Struthio camelus: one gene and its partner. The protein of the gene in region 1 interacts with the protein of each later gene in a pairwise test. Links are inferred from orthologs where the notes say so. Each region holds a gene or a part of one and is shown on either strand. Other genes may lie near its edges.

Region 1 (9,178 bases):
AAAAACAGCACCACTTCAGAAAGCACTTTACATTAATTTCACATAATACTAATGAAACATATCCTGAAAAAAAGTCTCCTTTAGAGGCCATTAAGCATACATCAAAATATTTACACCTAAAACTTGTCTAGCTAGTTTTAGCAATGTTATGCAACCAACTCAATTACTCTAAAAAAAACAACACTAAGTGTTTTATTTCCATAGCTCTTACATACATATTTAAGATCTACTATCAGCAAGGTGTGCAATGCATTCCACTCTACCAGCTATTCCACCAAAGTTCACTACTGCCCCATGCTCGCAGTCAATCCTTTAGCTTAAGGTGTCTCATCATATTTTCAAAAATAATTTTATTATTGTCCAAGTTATTCATGCAATGGCTATATGAAGAAAATCAAACAGGAGCGAGCCCCTGAACTCTCGTTCAGCACAGCCTGGCACTGAGCTGCAGCTCCAGTCCTCCTCTATTAGCACGTTTGACCCAGTATCAGTTAGAGGTGATACTTGATCCTTGCTTGGCCACCCTGAGGTCCAGCTGCAGTGTTCAGCACCAACGTGCATAAACACCAGGCCCTCTGTAGGCTGAAGTGACACTTGTTTGAAACCTCTCTTCACTGTAAGGGAGCAGGGATTGGTTTAAGGATAATGGGAAATAAATAAAACGTGCCTTTTTTAGCAAGAAAACCAAGAATCCATTAATAACTTGGCAGATAAATCTCTGTCAAAAGTGTTAAAAAAATACAGAGTTAAAGTCAGACTGCTTTTATAGCATTACTTTCATCTGCCTCACAGCCCTGTATATGCAGAGACCACTTCTAAATATAAAGAAATCATGCCTAGCTCTTGCTGAGACATAAGCAAGATTCTGAAATTGTGCAAGGACGCTACAAAATTAAAGAGCCAAAGCGCCTAACCCGTAGCAAAGTTAAATTTGAAAAATGCATGAGTAGGCTTGTGTGATGACACCGCCTGTGAGCGGCTCACTTTAACTCAAAAGGTCCCCTCCAACGCTCGAGTAACTTTTAGAAAATGCAGCAACTAACTCTAACTTTAAACGACCACTACGCTTTCAAAAGTGACATTGAAAAACAAAACAGAACAAAAAAACTACTCTGAAAAGAAGTATTTATTTAAAGGAGTGACAGTATGGGACACTGCATAGTTTACAGCACGCGTAACGCAAACAGTGAGAAGTTTTGTTTTGTTTATATATCGAGACGTAAATAATAGTTCTGGGTCGAAGCACATATCCAGAGAAAGGTCAAAAAATTATCCCACACCAATAGCCTTAAGCTGCAATGACAGCATATACTCATGCCACTAGCCATTTTTGTATTTTGGAAAGCTTGATTTTTAGTAAGTGAGGTAGCAAAGAGGAACACTGTTGCTCTTCAGCAACCAAGACACACGAAAACAGAGTCCTTCATTTTTCACGTACATATCCACTCAACTCATCGCCGCTCCTTACAATTGCAAGAGAACATGATTTAAAAAAAAAAAAAAAAAAAGACTTTTTTCTCCCAAACTAAATCCCAGGTGGGTTTTTCGTGCACGAGGAAGACAGAGCACCAACCCCCCCCCCCCCGCCCCTTTTCCTCCCCGCCAGGTCCATACGTGCTAACACCGCCCAAGGCTCGCTTTAGCTTTTCTTTTGGGGTAGAAAAGGGGAACCAAAGCCGCGCTCCGCGCCAGCCCCAGCCCCGGCCGCGCCACACGACGCGGCCGCTCGGCGAAGCGGCGTCGAGGCGCCACCCGGCCGCAGCCGGCGGCTCCGGGCCGGGCCGGGCCGGCCCTCGGGCACGGGCGATGCCGCGGGCCGGGCCGGGCCGCTCCGAGGGCCGCGCAGCGCCGCTCCCCGCCGGGCCGCGCTGCCCCGGGCGGGGAGGCGGAGAGGCGGCCGGTTCCCCGCGCGGGGCCGGCTGAGGTCGGGGCGCTGTCAGGGCGCGGGTCCCCGCCTACGCGCCCCGCCCCGCCCCGCCGCGGCCTTGGCCGCGCTTCCCCCTCCTCCGCGCGTCCCGCCGGGAGACTCGCCTCGGACGGGCCGCTCACTCCGCTTCCGCCATCTTCTCACCTCCCTCACGGGGAGGCGCTGCGCAGGCGCGCTGGGCGCCGCCGCCGCCGCCGCCGCCGGGCACGTGACCCGCGCGCCGCCATGTTGCCGGCGGGCGACGTTTTCGGGCCGTGGTAGGGACCCGCTTTGCGGCCGTGTCGTCGCGCCCCTCTCGGTAGCTTCTGTGCTGGAGAGGGAAGGCGGAGGCAGGGAGCAGCGGCCCGGCTGGGGCAGAAGGGCCCGGCCTCCCTCCCTGCCCGCGGTGGCTGTGGCGATGGGCGTCGCAGCCTCTCCGCGCAGCGGGCAGGAGCGTTTTAGCTTCGCTGTGGCAGAGCTGAGCTAGGTACGGCCGGGGGCTGGCACCAGTAGGTTTTGCTCGTTTGAGTCCCCAGCTGTACTAGAAAAAGGAAGGAGGGTACGCGCATCGCTCTGAGAGCGCTTTCGGCAGGTTGCGGTTCGGAGAGTGGTTGCCCTCAGTGCTTTTCCATGCCGATGGCTCTGGGGCTTCAGCTGCTTTTCAGCAGTCGCACCACGTTGGTGGTGAACTTCTGACTTGTCTGAGGAACACAAAACGAAGGGTCTTTTAGCCCTCTAGCTTTCAGTCCCTTCCTATGAAACACTGGCTCAGAGCCTTTCCCTGCTGTAGGGATTTTTTTTTCCCCCCAAGACCATCTCTCCCTCTAAAGTGACCATGATTGATAAGAGCTGAATTACATCATTAACTCCCATCTGTAGACAGTAGTTGCTGCCTGTTATCTAGCATAGATGAGGCAAAGCCCAGCCTCCTTACAGATAAGTAGTCACCTCACCAGGTAATGCCTAATTCGAATCTCACAGGGGACATCTTGACAAACTCATTCAGCACCTCTCCCTCTCCTCTTCATGAAATGTCTTGCTGTGATGAAGAAACGCCTTCCAGATCGTAGAAGTACATAAGGAACGTTACACACAGCCTTCGGGTATACCAGTGTTTACAATGTTGCTTTTGTTCCCTTTATGCTCTCTTAGATCTGTGTGACAAGACATGGCACACTGTCTATGTAATGGAAAAGTCTTCATAGTTCAAAGTGGACTCTGCCCCCTCTTCCATGGCCCTTTTTGGAGAGAGAAGTGAGATTCTGCCAAAATCAGCTGACTGTACTTAGATCATCAAGGTTGAGAGGTGGTGAGCAATAACGGTCTACCTTTAGGGATAAAGACTATGGCTGATGGGGACAAAGATTCTCTCTAAAGTTGGTTCTGGAAAAAGATTTTGTATACCGTCCTCTGGGTTTTAAAATAAAAGCAACATTTCAGCTCCCCAGTTAACAGAGGGAGAATTCTCTATTGTAGCGTTTGGAAAATGCTCAACATAGTTATAACCCACCAGATATTTTCTAGCAGGATTGGCAGACACTGGCTAAGGAACCACAGCTAGGTCCGGTTTTTTATTTTGGGTTTTTTTTTTTTACTAGCTTTGAGGACGCTGCCAAATCCTTGAGTGTCATCTGCTGGTGGACTGAAATGCTTCAGTGCCAGAAGCTTCTACAAACAGGAATCTTCTCCTCATGCTATCTAGTTATTTTATTCTTTGACAAAATTGGTAGGAATGCCAGTAGGCTATTCTTTAACTCCCGGGCCCACCACAATAGAAGACTGCGCCATCGCTCATTTCTGATTCATTAGTAATCTTGGCAGAAATTGTTTCATCCGTGGGTACTGACACAGAACCAAGGGTGTGAACAAAGATGAGAATTAGTTAAAAACTTGATGAAAAACTGAACAATAATAGGATCAAATAGCTGAATAGAGCTCAGCAATATGTTTTTCTGCAACTAAATTGCTGTTTCCTCAGCACAGTTTTGACCAACTGGGAGTTGGACACAAAAGAAAAAAAAATTGCCAGATGTTTAGCTGCCAGTTGGGATAAGTACGTACTTGGCAAAGAAAAAGGACCTCAGCAAGCATCTCACAAAACGCAAACACTTTCCCAAGCATCATAGACAAGCTCAGACTGTCAGAGGGTGAAGCAGTCAGACTGGCTACAGGTAAACTGCCAGTGATGAGTAGTGATACTGATCCCTGGTCAGATGAGGAGGTCTGGTTTCTGTAAAGACACCACAAGATGATCCAGTACAAGAAAACTGGAATTATCATAGGTTGAAAAAGAGAGTTGTAGGGAAAATGAAGACTCATGCAGGAATAGTCCACAGATGCTGCAAGAAAAATGATGAAACGTTGGAAGTGCTGAGCAAGGGGTTCATGAGTTCAGATACGGCAGGGTATTTCCAGTTGTAAGAAAAGGATGTAAGACTTGGAGCAAATGACCTTCTGAGGAAAAAAACAAATGCTACGGGCAGGTTAGGTGTCATGAAAAAGTTTCTGTACTGTGTACTTAAGGAAGATAGCCAATATGGCCTGAGTTACTTTACCACCAAGATGAGAAACTGTGACGCAGGCTGATCAGAAGGTGCGTATCTTACATAGGAGCCTGTAAGTGAACCTGGAAAAGCTAAACTTCATGCTGCTCTGAAACAAAACAGCCAGGCACGATGCTGTTCGGAGCATGGAGGCAGCAGTGGAAAAAAATAAGTGTTTTTACTACAACAGAACAAAACAGAGGTTAGTTCTAGATTACGCTCAGTATTAAGCTCCCGACGTTTTAGGAGCGCCAGGGTAGTACCGCAGGTATTTCTGACTCTCTTAAGCCTTGAAAGAGGGAGAAGCCCTATCGGTAAGGAAGTGAAATTACAAGTTTTCTTCCTCTTCCTCCTTTTACAGGCGGAGCCGCGGCTGTGGTCAAGCTGTGCCAAACGTGGAGCAAGCCGCTGTCAAAGTCATACGAGAAGAAACGGCCCAAAGCCCGGCAGCCCCCGGTAAGCCGCACCCCGCCGCCGTGTTTGCCGCTGGCCGGCGCCCGGCGCGCAGGCGCAGACGCGGCGGCGGCGGCGGGGGCCGGCAGTCCCGGCAGCCCCTGCGGCGGCACGCCCAGGCCGTACCAAGCGGCCGGGGAGACGCTGCTGCCGTCCCTCCCCCCTCCGCCCCGCCCCGCCCCAGCGCAGGGCGCAGGCGAGTGGCCCCCGCGGCTCTCCGTACCCCGCCCCGCCTTCTCGCCGCCGCCGCGTGGGCCGCCCCGCGGGGCGGGGACGAGCCCACGGAGCACGAGCATGAGGGGGGCGGGCAGCGCCCGGCTCTCCCGCCGCGGGCGATCGGCCTGAGCCGCGGCTCCGCTGCCGGCTTCTCCTCCCTGCCCCCGCCCGCGAGGCCCCGCAGAGCGGAGCGGGGCCGGGGCGCGGCGGAGAGCCGCGGAGTCGCCCGGCCGCCGCCCGCCCGCCTGCCGCCGCGGGGGGATGCCGACGCAGCGGGACGGCGGCGGCAACGGCACCATGTCCCACTCGGGTCCCGCCGGCGGAGGGGGCGGCCTCGGCGGCGACAGCGCCCACCAGGTCCGCGTGAAAGCCTACTACAAGGGGTGAGTGGCGGCCGCGCCCGCGGGCAGCTTTCCGCCGCGGCTCCCGGCTCGGCCCGGCGGCGCCGCGCTGCCCTTTCCCTCCGCGGCGCCGCGGCGGCGGCGGCGGCGGCGGGGGGGGGGGGGGGGGCGCGGCCCCGCTCGCTGCTTGGCTCGAAGTTTAAAGGAAACTCTTTATCTCGGGGCTAAGCGGAGCGATAGCGCTGGTATGCATGGTTTTGGCTGCACGGCATAGGCTCCTCTGCGGTCCCAGGGAGCAGCGGCTTGAGAACATTCGTGCTTTTCCCGCAGTTACCGCAATAAAGCGTACACGTCCTCATCTCTCGGAATAGTTTACCGGGTTGAGGTTTCTGTCCATGGTGGTGATGAAAATGTGATATTTTAATTATTGCGTTTTCGCTGCGTTTACCGATAATGTTAAAATGTCGAATCCTAGATGCCCGGTTCTTGGAGAGGAAAAGGGGGATAAAAAAAGAAACAGGAAAGCTTGCTGCCAAACAGCTGCATTAAAATGGCTTTCAAGTGATGTTCTGAACTAAGCTGAAACTGGCAGGGCTTGTGCTCAGTGGAGCCTCTCCTCAAGGTGTCAGATTTCACCGAGCTGCCTGTGGGATGAGGCATTCAGGGGAGAGGTGATGAACTGAACCCATATGGACTGAGCGGCCTCAAGATATCAGTCTTCCTGCGATACCACTAAACATAAATAAGGATGTGTCCAGATAACTACTTCTTCCCTATGCTTCTTCTCACCTTGGCTTCCCATGCGTTCTGATTCCACCTTATCGTTTGCCTGCTGTTAGTTATAAGAGCATAGTACTCGATAACGTTTTCCTGAGAGTAAAAAATCATACTTAGAAAATATGCTTAGGGTCAAGATCCAAAGGAAGAGGGTAGTACTTGGCTGAGAACCTAGGTCATTGATTTTCAGGCTGCGCTTCACAGGGGCTGATTGACTTCTGAGGGAGTTGGTGGATGGTAACTAAGACGCATCCACTGTCAATCGTGCTTCCACTGTAACCAGTGCTAGGGGTCTGCACAATGGAAATCTGAACCCTGTCAGTGGTTCTCCAACAGCAGTATATCACGCCGGAGAAAGTATTCTGCTCGGAATTGACAAACTCATGTTAAAAATAACGGTTACAGGACCTAAATGTAAAAGTTGGTCAGCCAGGTTTGACAGTGGATCTTTGGGCCAAGAAGTTCGGAGGCAAGTGATCTAAACAAAAAATGTAGGTTGCATTTTTTTGGATAGAGATTGGATTCGAGACGCATTCACTGATAATTGGAAGGAAGCTGCTATTGAAGTAAAGGAAAAATGTCATTACATCTGTAGTATTTACTATTTAGTAACGTGAATATCTGATGTCTCTAACCGTATAATTTTAATGAGAGGTGTAAGGACCACACTGAGCATTTAGTATTTGTAAATACATTAATTTCTGACCTATTTCTGTTCTAGGGCTTTTCTTGACAAAGGTCTATAAAAGTGCCGTAGTGATTGGCACAATCTGTGACTTGAAAATACCTGTGAAATGTTTTCAGAGTAATAAAATGGGAAATTCTCAGCTGTTTTACTGTCATTGCAATCCACCATCCTAAAGAAGTGGAGATGCCTCTGGCTATTAACTGGCACAACTGTTCATTTGATTAGACACTAATGAACTAAAGTGGGAACTGTTCTGGGTTAAAACTATTTTTCTTCTGCTGGGTCAGTTTTAATCTTGATCGTTTCCCTGTGCAATCACACGAATGCTTGCTGTAGCACAGGGAGGCTATGGTGCGGGAGTAGAGAGAAAGCAGTTCAGGGCTGTGGGAGTAAGGAATAAAACCGCTACACTGGACAGCAGTGCTAGCTCATGGCATTTTAAATATTTGGTAATAATTTCACAGACACTGAAATGTTTCTTTTGAATCTCGTTCACTGACTTCTTATCTATTAACGTAATTGTCAGTTCACATGTAATAATGAAACTGAGTCACGCAGGGAGTTGGTTAACTATTGTTAATACAAACAAACAAGCTGGAATGCCTTAGTCATAATTTCTTTCAAGATCTAAACAAATTAATCTCTCTACTTTCCTGAAACAAAAGGTCTTATGCCCACTTCTCAGACTAGCACTGTCAAGAAATGGATATCAGAGCAAAACATTTTACCTGCACTTAGTCTGAGATCACTTGGGAACAAAGGACCTAAATCCTGATATAAAGGCAGCATTTTCCCTTTTATCTGTTAAACTATCTCGAGATTAGAGTTGGACAGAGGATTTTACAGGGAATGGTATTAATCAGAAAAGGTTACTCTCTCTTTTAATTTGTTTCAACAGTAGCATTTAAACGGGATGTAAAAGTTGTGGAAGTCTCACTGCAAAGGTCTTTTCAGCCCCTGGAAGGAATTTCTGGTCCAAACAAAACAAAACAAACAAACAACAACGAAACAGCAACTGGGAAGCATAGATCCATTCTTGAAACAGTTTGTAACCTGACAGTCAGGCTACTCACCTGGTTCTCAAGACATGACTCTTACTAACTCAGACCAAAGAGCTGGCTCTGAATCCCTGTAACATAGGTTAGTCTGGCTAGGAGCCTAATTGCTTTTCTCAGCTGCAGTTAAGACTTTCATGAAGAACTCTTTGAACGGTCTTTGTTTCCTTCTAGTGTTCAATAGAAATTCTTTATCTTAAATTCATGAAGCATGTGAAACCAGGAAAGAAAATTTTCCTAAAATGAAGAAAGATCATGGGAATAAGGGTATGGCAATTCCCAGAGACCTGGGAGTTAGGGCATAAGCTGAATTTACCTGGCATTTCCTTCTCTCAGGTAAGTTGCACTTACCTTCCTAATAGGACTAGTTGTTTAAAATGCTGCAAGTAACCTCTTTGAAGGAATTATCATATTCTGTGCGATATATGTAATAGAGGTTGCTGAGTGAGCACTTAGGAATTTGCTCTCTTACACCAAATGTTTACATATACTTCAGATTTTTGTTGATACAGTAACCAAGTTTAGCAGTTTCAAATACTGTACTTGAACAGCTCCTGTAGTTACAAGCATTTCAGTGTTCTAATTTTTGTTCAAAGTTTACTTTCTGGCTCTTCTAATTTGTTTGTCTGTTTGCAGATAATTTTGGTCAGTTCTGTACAAGAAAGCTATTCTGTCAATATTACGTAAGAAGAGGATGGCAGTGCAGTGGTTGAGAGCAGCTATAGGAATAAGTAGAGCACTGCTTGTGCACTATGAATTCTGTAGAATTAATGCTGCTGATAAATCTTGAAGAACCTTCTTTTCTGTCATGGTTAAAAGTGCTAGCTTGCTTCCTTTCAGTGACTGACATAGGTTTTAAACCTATCTGAACTACGTAGGCTGTAATTCAGGATAGACTTTTAGTATAGCTAAAGGCATAGGTTACCAATGCTTTGCCCACCTACAGTTTGATTTATTTTAGATGAAAAATACCACTGGCAGAAATCTCCTGATACATGTTAAATTTGCTTTTCTAAAATTTTAATACATTTAAGTGAGCAGGGAAAGGAGGGGGAAGAACAGTTCAATGTTAATGATAAAATCAAAACACACCTCCATAGGTGCTTCCAAGGAGTTAATTTCTTAATCATGCATGCGCTCTTTCAGCCTTTCTTTATATTATTTTTTGTGTTGCGTGCTCGGTGTAGTGCAGTCAATGT
Region 2 (9,525 bases), on another chromosome or scaffold:
TGAAGCACGGTATTGTGTAACAGTAGGTGGACGATTATAAAAGATTAAACAGTTAGGATCTGTAGTAGCTAGTTCACTTTAAAGCTCAAATGTTATCCTTCTTTGATAGGAAATCAATTTTAACAACTGATGAAGCCAAATACTTTCCTTTATAAAAACACTGTATGGTCACAAATAATTTTAAGATGTATCAGTGCAATTCAATAAAAAAAAGGTTCCTTTGTAGCAGAAGGCATAAGCACTCATTATTCAACAGATGGCACTTAATGTGTTACTTATTCTAGGTTACAGACACTATCAGAGGATACTACTTCTACACACAAATAGTGATAACATGCAAGGTACTTTCCAGACAAGCTTAAAAGCAAAGTCTTTATTCTCAAAAAATAAAATTCTGAACTGCAGCAGTGTGCAACTTAAAAGAAAATTCTGAGCAATTACTCCTTTGATCTATCATAATTTTTCCAAATTATAGATCTGGAATACTCCCTGAGTAACGGAAAGATAAGAAACTGATGTTCACAAATCACTTTGAGGAAAGGAACTCTGAAGTGCTATCTATAAACCTTTATAGCTCTAACATAGGTGATGTTTTCTTTAGAACACTTTAGCCATAAGAGGTAAGTCATTAAGGTGTACACATGCGTGCAAAGCGTGAGATGTCAGCTGTGATTAGTACTACTGTGTTTAATTAATGACAGAGTTTCAAACTGATCCAGAGTCATTGAATAGAAATGAAGGAGTACTAGATGAATGAGAAGAAAAAGCTTTAAAAGCCTGTAATTTTATTTAGAAAACTCAGTACAAATCAGTATATCCGTGTGAACTTTTGACTTGTTAGGCAAGCAGTTTCAGAATTTTATCACCACAGCAGCAGCCTCCACACAAGAATAATCATAGAAATATACTACAGATCACCTATTGGTGGGACAAGCAACATACTTACAAAAATACATCCTCTGGAAAAGGCCTGATGTTAGAGCTAATTGAAAGTCAGAATTTCAATTCAGAATAAAAAGCGGAAATTTCTGCAGAGGTAAGAAAATTTGAAATAATTCACAAATTTTTCTTACCTACTAAAAAAATAACCCCACAAAAGTACACCCTGAGGATTTCCTCAGCAGTTGATCCTGAAGCCAGAAGCATCAAGACTTTTCCTTTGAGGACTCAGAAGCCTAACCCTGGAGTCCTAAACAGGGCTGGCTTTCACAGTGCTTCCATGTTTGTGACAGTCACAGTTCTGCAACAAGAAGCATGACAGCTTTGGTGTCCCCGGCTCTTACAGTACATTACTGTTAGTCACCCCTTTCCACCTGCACACGTCTTCCTGATTTTGAGTAGATTCCTAGATAACTTTAATTAGCAGGAATATTTGTGAGAATAAGTTTAAATGTTTTTGAAAAATTGGATCTAGATTGGATGTAGCATGGAAGTAGCACACCATAAACAAATATTTATTTGACAGCATGATATAAAGACAGCTTTTCACATAAAGCCAGATGAAACAAAATAAAGTATTCACGGAAAAAAAAAAAAAACCCACAACCCTAGAAAACTAGAAATAGTTATTGAAAAAGATTTCATACATGTACTTTAAAAATAATCAATCCATTTTGTCACTGAAAGAAGTTAATTGTTTTGCTGACAGACAAAAAAGAAAGCAGAGACAGAATTGGAATACAAATTCTTGCATCCTAACTCTGGTTATTCTTCTGGTCCATGCTATCTTTAGCAGGTGAAGTAACAGTAGTTCTTCAATAGACAATTTAAATATTCTGTCATATCTATTTACTGAGCAAAAAAAATAATTTGAAGTGTACATTCATTTGGACTCGCATGCTCCCAGCATGTTAGAGGTAGGTATTTAAAACTAGGTTCTTTACACAGTTTACATAGTTCTTTAATTTTTTTTTTAGATACACAACCATTCCTCAAGCTTTCCCAGGTAGTTGTTCCCCCCCCCCCCCCCCCCCAAAAAAAAGAAAAAAGAAAAAAGATGAAATCTAGCCAGAAAAGGAGAAGCAGTCCTTTGCCAGAGGGCATTTTTGAGCTGCACTTAGTATACTTGTACCTGTACAGCTGCTACATTGTCGGTATGATTGTACTGTACTGCTATTTTCTGTACAGGAAAAACAATGTACTTTTATTTCACTACTTCCATGCTAAGAGTCATATTTTATAACTGTACAGCAGAAAATCAAATTCATCTATTAATAAAACAACGGTTGAAAATTTTGGGGAGCCAGTTTTGGTTCTGTTAAAAAAAAAAACACACACACACATATTTCCACAATTGTCATGATTCCAGGGTAAGAAGATCAGTTTTTATTACACACCTTTGTTATTTAAATATTACTATTATTAATAAATATGCTAAAATGCCATGTAATAAGGTCTACATGATAAGCTTTGCTCCAGTGTCTATATTTGCTGTAGGCATAAACAGTATTTAATGGAGATAAAATATAAAGCTACCCTTCTCAAATTCTTTCAATCTAATGCAACATTTGCAAATTCAGATATCCTGCTCAGGGGTCACAAGTACCAGCACAAAGTACTTACTTTTATTTACATGGCTACCTATAAATAGTGCTTTGTAATATTATTTGCATTTGTGACCCTCAGCTATCTCTAAGACAAAAACGGTCTCTACTCTTCACTGATTAAGGGCAAGGGAAAAGGCAAGGGACTGTGATTTGAGGTCACATATGTCACTGGTACTCTGAAAAATGCAGGGTATATACTTTTCCTGAAAACTCCTCTCTTTGTAGGGAAAAAGAACTAGTATGCAATAGACTGATCTATCAAAATTGTAACACTTTAAGTTAAATGTAAGAACAACATAAGCCCTAAATTATACAACAAAAGTTTTGGTGGGTTATCAGTATCAGTCAACATACACTGGCAGGCATTTTCTGTGTTTTATTCTTGGAAGCAATCCTTCAGCTCCTCGGAGGGCTATATTTCATATTCTATTTAAAAAGTAGGAAGTCTTGAGATGGGAAAGATGCATTACAGCAAAATCTCACTTATACTGCATGGTAGTCTTAGTGATCTAATTTCCACACCAAAACAAACTAAGAAAAAAAAAGCCCTCTCCAAAAACTTCCCCAACTACCACAGATTAGGAAACCCAACCTGTCTTTCAACTTCACAAAAGCTGAAACTGAACATGCCATGAATACTTGATCAGGTCTGAATCACAGGTTTTAGAGAGCTTGTGACTAAAATAGCTCTACAAACTTGTGCTACTCCTGGCACAAAAAGCCTGCCTTTCTCCTACCTTTATCAGAAATCAAGTTGTTTATCACATTCCTTCCTCATTTATCAGTTCCTTGTGATGAAAGCAACTCAGTGATTAATACTTTTTATTACGTTGGTTCCAGTGACTTGAAATGAATTTGCCCTGACTCTTTAAGCATGCTACCACACCCACTGCATGGAACTCAAGCAATTCTAGGAATGCAAGACAGAAAACAAATCTTAGGCTATAGCCCATAAATCTATAGCCATAAAGCCAACTGTATGATGGCTTCAAGCACAACACTTCTTCAGGAGGTGTTTTTTTTTTTTTTTTCCTAAAGAAAAAGGCAAATCAACTGCTTTAGAAAACCTGGAGAAGGCACTGTTCTCTTCTGTCTTGCACTCTTCTCTGCGCTTTCCTACAGCTCATTAAGCAAAGTCGGCTGTAGAAGGCAGAAATGGAAAGTAGTCCAAAATCTTTTCAGTTTTGCTAACTACCTAACTACAAAGTGACAAAATAAGAGGTTTTATCTGTATCTTGCTCACATAGCTGCAATCTACTGTCTTCTGTTTACCACAGCATCATAGATTTTATGTAAATTTAGGGACTGAATTCTCTATATAACATTTTGCCGGTGTAAACACAGAACAGACTGCGTAAAGGACACAGAACAGACTGCGTAAAGGACGTGAAGATGTGAACTTGCCCAGACACTGACTGACAGCAAACTATACTTAACAATTAACAATATCCTCTGTACTAATTAGCGCTTGTCTTGGCTTGAGTGATAGTTGCAATTTCTTTGCCTTTGGCATGACGGCAGTAAGACTGGCTGTCCAAAACAGCACCGACTTGAAAGTGATTAAGCACTGCATGTTCTTAAAAACTACTGATTACCAACTGAGACTTGTGAACTGACTAGACACTCATACCCTGCCTTAACTGCAAAGGGCTGTTTGTCTGCACTCCCTTCACAGCATCCTACATAAAGCCTACATGAGGACGCCTCAAACTGAGTTCTTTTCTACTAGGTTTACAGATTAGGAAGCAATCTGTATTTAGAAGGTATGCTGACATAAGTAGGTTGATCCATGGGCCTTCTTCCTACTAACACATGTAAAATTGTACTAGTAAGGAGTCCTTTTTCTTCAGATTGTAAGGCGTAAACTAATGAGGTTTCTCAGTCCCCCTGCCAGAGTACTGAAGTAGGGGCTTTGAACTGAAGTAACTGCTCTATCTCGGGATTATACCAATATGCAAGGTTACATAAAACAGTCGTTCTGGTTCATATTGCCAGATGCTGAAATATTACTTGCAGTTGAAACAAAAACACGAACTCCAACTTCTCTATGGCACGAATGGACTTTACAGAGGTACCCAGAGGGTAAGAGTTCAAACTTTTGGACTGGTCTAGACATAGTTTAGGTAATCTACAGACAAATAATCTAACAGAGGCGCACTTCGCCTTAAGTGCCCAGAATCCGCCTCGACGCCCGCTGCCCCGCGGGCGCCCTGGCCGGCAGCCGGCGGCGCCGCGACGCTGAGGCGTCTGAGGGGACGGAGGGCCGCGCTCCAGCCGCCGCGGCCCCGCGCTGACACACCAGCGCAAAGGTCGCTCGGCCAGATCCCACACCTGAGAAGGCCTTAGGTCATTAGAGATAGGAGGAAAAAATAAATAAATAACCCCTCCCCACACTTCCTCATACGGACAGCGCCTCACCCTCGCGCGGGCGCCGTGCACGCGTCCTCCATTTTGGAACCCGGACCAAGCGGGCGCAGGTGCGCCACCCCGCTGCCCGGGTGGCGACTGCGCATGCTCGCCAGCGGCAGGTGCGCCGCCCCGCCCTCCCGCCGCCTGCGCCCCGCCCTGCCGCGCAGGCGCCGCGCGCTCTGAGCCGCCCCGCCCCCTGCCTGGCCGCCGGCTCGGCGGCGCGGCAGGTGCCCGCAGCCGCCGTGGCTCCGCCCCCTCCCCCTCCCCTCCCCCCCTCCCCCGGCGGCGCTGTGAGGGCGGCGGCAGGAGGTGGCGGAGCGGCCGCGGGGTGCCGGGGGCGGCTGGCGTCGGGCCCGCGCCGCTCGCCCTTCTGCCTCGCTGCCTTTCCCACCGCCCGCGCGGGGGCTGCGGCGAGAGAGCGGAGCCGGGACAGCGACCCCGCGGCGGCATGAACCGGCCTCACCGCGGCGCCGCGGGCAGCCGGGGCCTCGGCACCATGGAGGTGAAGAGTAAGGTGGGTCCGGCCGCGGCGGCGGCGGAGGGCCGCGTCCGCCGGCGGCGCCGGGGAGAGGGCCCGGCCCGGCCCTGCGGGGCCGCCGTGGAGGAGGGCGGCGGGGCCGCAGAGCTGCTGACTCACCTGCTGGCGGGGGCGACGGCCCGCGGCCGCTCGAGCGCTCCGGGCGGCGGCGGCGGCGTGTCTCTTCCCCCCCCCCCCCCCCCCCCCCGGCAGCCTGCCCGTCCCGGCCGCCCCCCCCCCCGCCCCGGGTCGCTGCCGTGCGGCTCCGGCGGTGGAAGTTTCCTTGTGGCACCGCTCACCGGGTGCGCTGTCTGCGGGGGGGGAAAACTAGTATTTTTATGTGTGTGGGGGGGTGTTTTTAATTTTCATTTAAAAAGCTTGTGGTTTTGGTCCCTTAGTTTCTGCGTTGGTTAAAATACCGTCTAGAGAAGTGGATGGTTTGGGAAAGTTTGGGGGATACCAGGGGACATGTTTTAGAGTCATGATTCATGAACTCCAAAACCTGTTCTTGGTCTAAATGAGGAAAGGAGTGGTTTTGGTTAACTTTAACTATGTGTTTACGTACCTTTCTTAAAGTGGGCTAGAGCTCGCTATATAGCTTGCATTACTTGGTGCAGGTAAGCCACAGCTAACTTATCTTAAACAAACTTGCTTTTCTTTGAAGACTTTCCAAGGTCTTCATAATGGCAATTTTTTAAATGAGCAAATATATCTGTATGTTACCGCTCATAGCAAAAGTTTTTTTTGTTGTCAAAGCTGTGCACAATTCCACCAACCATCTTCTATTGATGTATCCACATCCATTTTTTTTCTACTGTTTCTTCTTAATGCAGATTAGGCATAGTTTTGTTGGAAAAACTTTAAATTTTTGAGAGGCAGTACATTATCTTTTGATTTATATTTCTGATGTTTTGTTGGCTTGTCATTCAGCTGTTATCAATTGTAGGGGTGTTGGATCTGTGGTATTAGTTGGTGTGTCATTAGTTAAATGAACGCATGTAACTTGAGTTAAAAACACTTTCTCTTTGTCTAGGCAGACTGTAAGTGCACCTATACAGAAATGTGTTTTCCTCCATTGGTACAAAACATATCTGTTGTTCAGATTTTATAAGTGGTCTACAGTTTGCTGTTGGAGCGTTAGAGCTGCAGTATGTGCGTAGCAGACAGGACTGAAGTTGTTGTGTGGGCTTTTGTTGTTAAGGATAATGTGACTGTGCTGAAGTTTCTCCTGGAAAACAGCTAGGTTGCATAGGTAATAGTGATTTTTAGGAGAAAAAAAAAAAAGTGGACTTAACCTTTAAGTGGACAAAATCAAAACGCACAGGAATACCTGGTAGCCCTGATTCCAAATGGTAGCGAAGCACAGCTGTGGCTCTGATTGGCGAAATCTCTTTCATTTATGCACTTTTAAGGTTGAGAACAGCCAGAACAATGTGTTTATGAGCAAAGTACTTACTGCCTCAGCGCAGAACTCTAGGCCTGTTGGTTCCTCTGTCATGTATTTTGCTTGATTAAGAATGGGATGAAAGTTTCTAGGAATCAGCTGAGATGCATTCTTTGTTATTTGTGTAGAAAAATGTAGAGGTTCTAATGAATAGGGACTGTCTCTTAAGTGCATATCATAAAGTGAGTTCCAAGGCATTCCTAGAATTACTTGTCACTAATGGATTATTTAAAGTGCATTGATTTAATATACCGTAGACGTCATCTCCCTTTTATGAGAGTAAGAAGAATTCTGAGAGAGGAAGAAGAAAGGAGTGTGTGGGAGGTGAAGTGGAGCGTTACTGTGGAGTGGTCTAGGCTTTGAAGGCTTATCAGCGATGCACAGGTCTTGATTATTGATTTGGAGTATCTCAATAATGCCCCAACTGACAAACTATGCCAACATACCCCAATTGTATTTGCAGTTGTATGAGCAAAATCTTTTTGTTAGTCAATTTTATTCGATTTAGGTAACTGATCTGAACTTGCCTTGGGGAATCTCCATAATATATTTATTCCAGTTAACCCTTTCTCTAATCTTAGACAAGTAAGTTTTATACCCCAACCTAGAGTTTTTGGTGATGGTATGAAAGTCCCAACATAAACTTTTGTTATGGTTTTTGTCTTCTCTCTCTATGTTCTGTTTTAGAATTATGTTCTTTGCAGAATGAAATCTAATATGCTGATAAAAGAGGCCGTGTATGGTTGCTGTAGTTCATGTCCTATTACTATAGCAGTCTGCTGGAGGCTGCTGTCATAGTATGGTGGCAATATGATATGTTATGAGATGAGGCATCTTTGTCCTCTGTAAGAAAATGTATTTTGTTTAAGAAAGACCATAATATATTGAGTAAGCATCTCTAGTAACTTCTTAGTATGTTTACATGGCTTTTGCTGCGTTTTCTCAGATGAGTTACTAGTGAGACATCCTGTGTGTGTAAAGAGCTCAAGTGACAAGTAGCCCTCTCAATTTAGTCTCCCAGTCTCTCCTCTCATTATAACTCCTTCTGAGTTGTTAATGCTAGTGCAGGCTGTTTAATGGCATGGAGTGTAACAATTTATATTAAATGAAAACGTTTCAGTGAGATAAAATAAACTGATGACGGAATTGCATGGTTTTACTTTGTCTCTTTTGTCTGCTTTGTCATAGTATTGAGCATGTTACAAATAGGAATTATGGCCAGATTATTAGTCTCTTGGTATTTGCACCAACTGTTTATAGAATTCTTATTTATCATGTGTTTTATAAAATGCGCGTTTGTGAAAATTGATTCTTTGCCTGCTGCAGCAGCATAGCAGTTGCTCCAAATAGTGTTCTTCTGTTTGTTTGTTTGTTTTTTTTTTAGCACATTACTTAATTGTACTTAAACGGTGTAGTCTTTCAAATCAAAACAATTGAAGTAGATGCAATGAATGGAAAAATCCTGTGGTATTCAAGCTTCAAATGGCTGAAGAAAGACTTAAGAGACAGGATAAGTTCTTACATTGATGTCATAGTTAAGTGTGCTGCTTTTGACCTGAAGGGAGTTCCTCCTGCAGATTTTTTACTTTTGTTACAAGCAGGAATGAATCCTCCCTCCTGCCTTATTGTTAGTTAATGTTACTGTAATTAGAGTATCTATACAAGAGGGATGTTTACAAAGAATTCCCTTATTTAAAAGCTTTGGAGAAAGGTGGAGTGTTGAAGTGCAGAAGGTGTATTTGGGTTGTCTTGTTGTGCTGTATTTGAGTTAGCTCGGTGCTAATGTGCTCACAGTAGGGTCTCCTTATTTTCCTTCCTTTGTATGTCAGAATTCTAAGCCTTTTATTCTCCAAAAGGCTGTAATCAAACAGGAGGAGCTTGGTTTGGAGGCCTGGTAATGTGCTCCTTCACATCTGCCAGTGTAACATACACCCAAGTGTCTGATACTGATGCTCAGACTTTCAGTCAGTGAGTACTGTTGCTGATTGCCTCCTTTATTTTTCTCTTTGGGTAAGAGCAGAAGTGACTTAAGGCTTGGGAGGATGCAAATGCCTCTCTCAAGCTCACTAAAGTTTTACTGCACTTGGTTAGTACTAAAAGCCAGCAGTCATTCTTTGTATTCTTCAGGTCAAAATGGCTTTTTATTTCTGGTCTGAACAACTAGGGATTTGCAAACTACTAAAGAGTCAGGCATATATTACGTGACACTGTAAAGTGCTCTTGAATTTCTTTGAAAAAGTTCCAGGTAGTCACATATTCTGCAAAGTTAAGCATACTCTTGTCATTGAGCAGCCAGCACCAGCGCTGGGTATGAATTCTGTCCCATGCCCAGAGCATGGCCGCTGTATCACAAGCGTGTGAGAATCTACAAAAATTTATACTAGTGTGTGTTACCTTAACATTAAATTCCCATATGAGCGAATGTTTTGACTTGAACTGAACAGTAAAAACAGAACTTGCACGTGTTCTTACAATAGCTAATAACTTTGAAAAATAAACAATTTAAACTGACCTTTTACGCCTTTTCCAAATTATGGGTTGTAGTTTTTAGTGTACTTTCAATTCTGTAACATTTCTGGTGTTACATTCAAATCATCCTATTGTTTGAA

What was found.
Region 2: the proteins of PRKCI (region 1) and PARD6B interact in binary tests that used the Homo sapiens proteins (3 or more experiments, as listed by UniProt). The link is inferred for Struthio camelus from reciprocal best matches to the Homo sapiens genes PRKCI and PARD6B.

The regions. Positions count from the first base shown.
Region 1 is NC_090950.1:27,955,909-27,965,086, reverse strand, and holds the start of PRKCI (protein kinase C iota type), read left to right. Parts: upstream 1-5,094; 5' UTR 5,095-5,379; coding exon 5,380-5,501; intron 5,502-9,178.
Region 2 is NC_090959.1:10,319,758-10,329,282, forward strand, and holds the start of PARD6B (partitioning defective 6 homolog beta), read left to right. Parts: upstream 1-5,236; 5' UTR 5,237-5,403; coding exon 5,404-5,469; intron 5,470-9,525. UniProt on the Homo sapiens protein: Adapter protein involved in asymmetrical cell division and cell polarization processes. Probably involved in formation of epithelial tight junctions.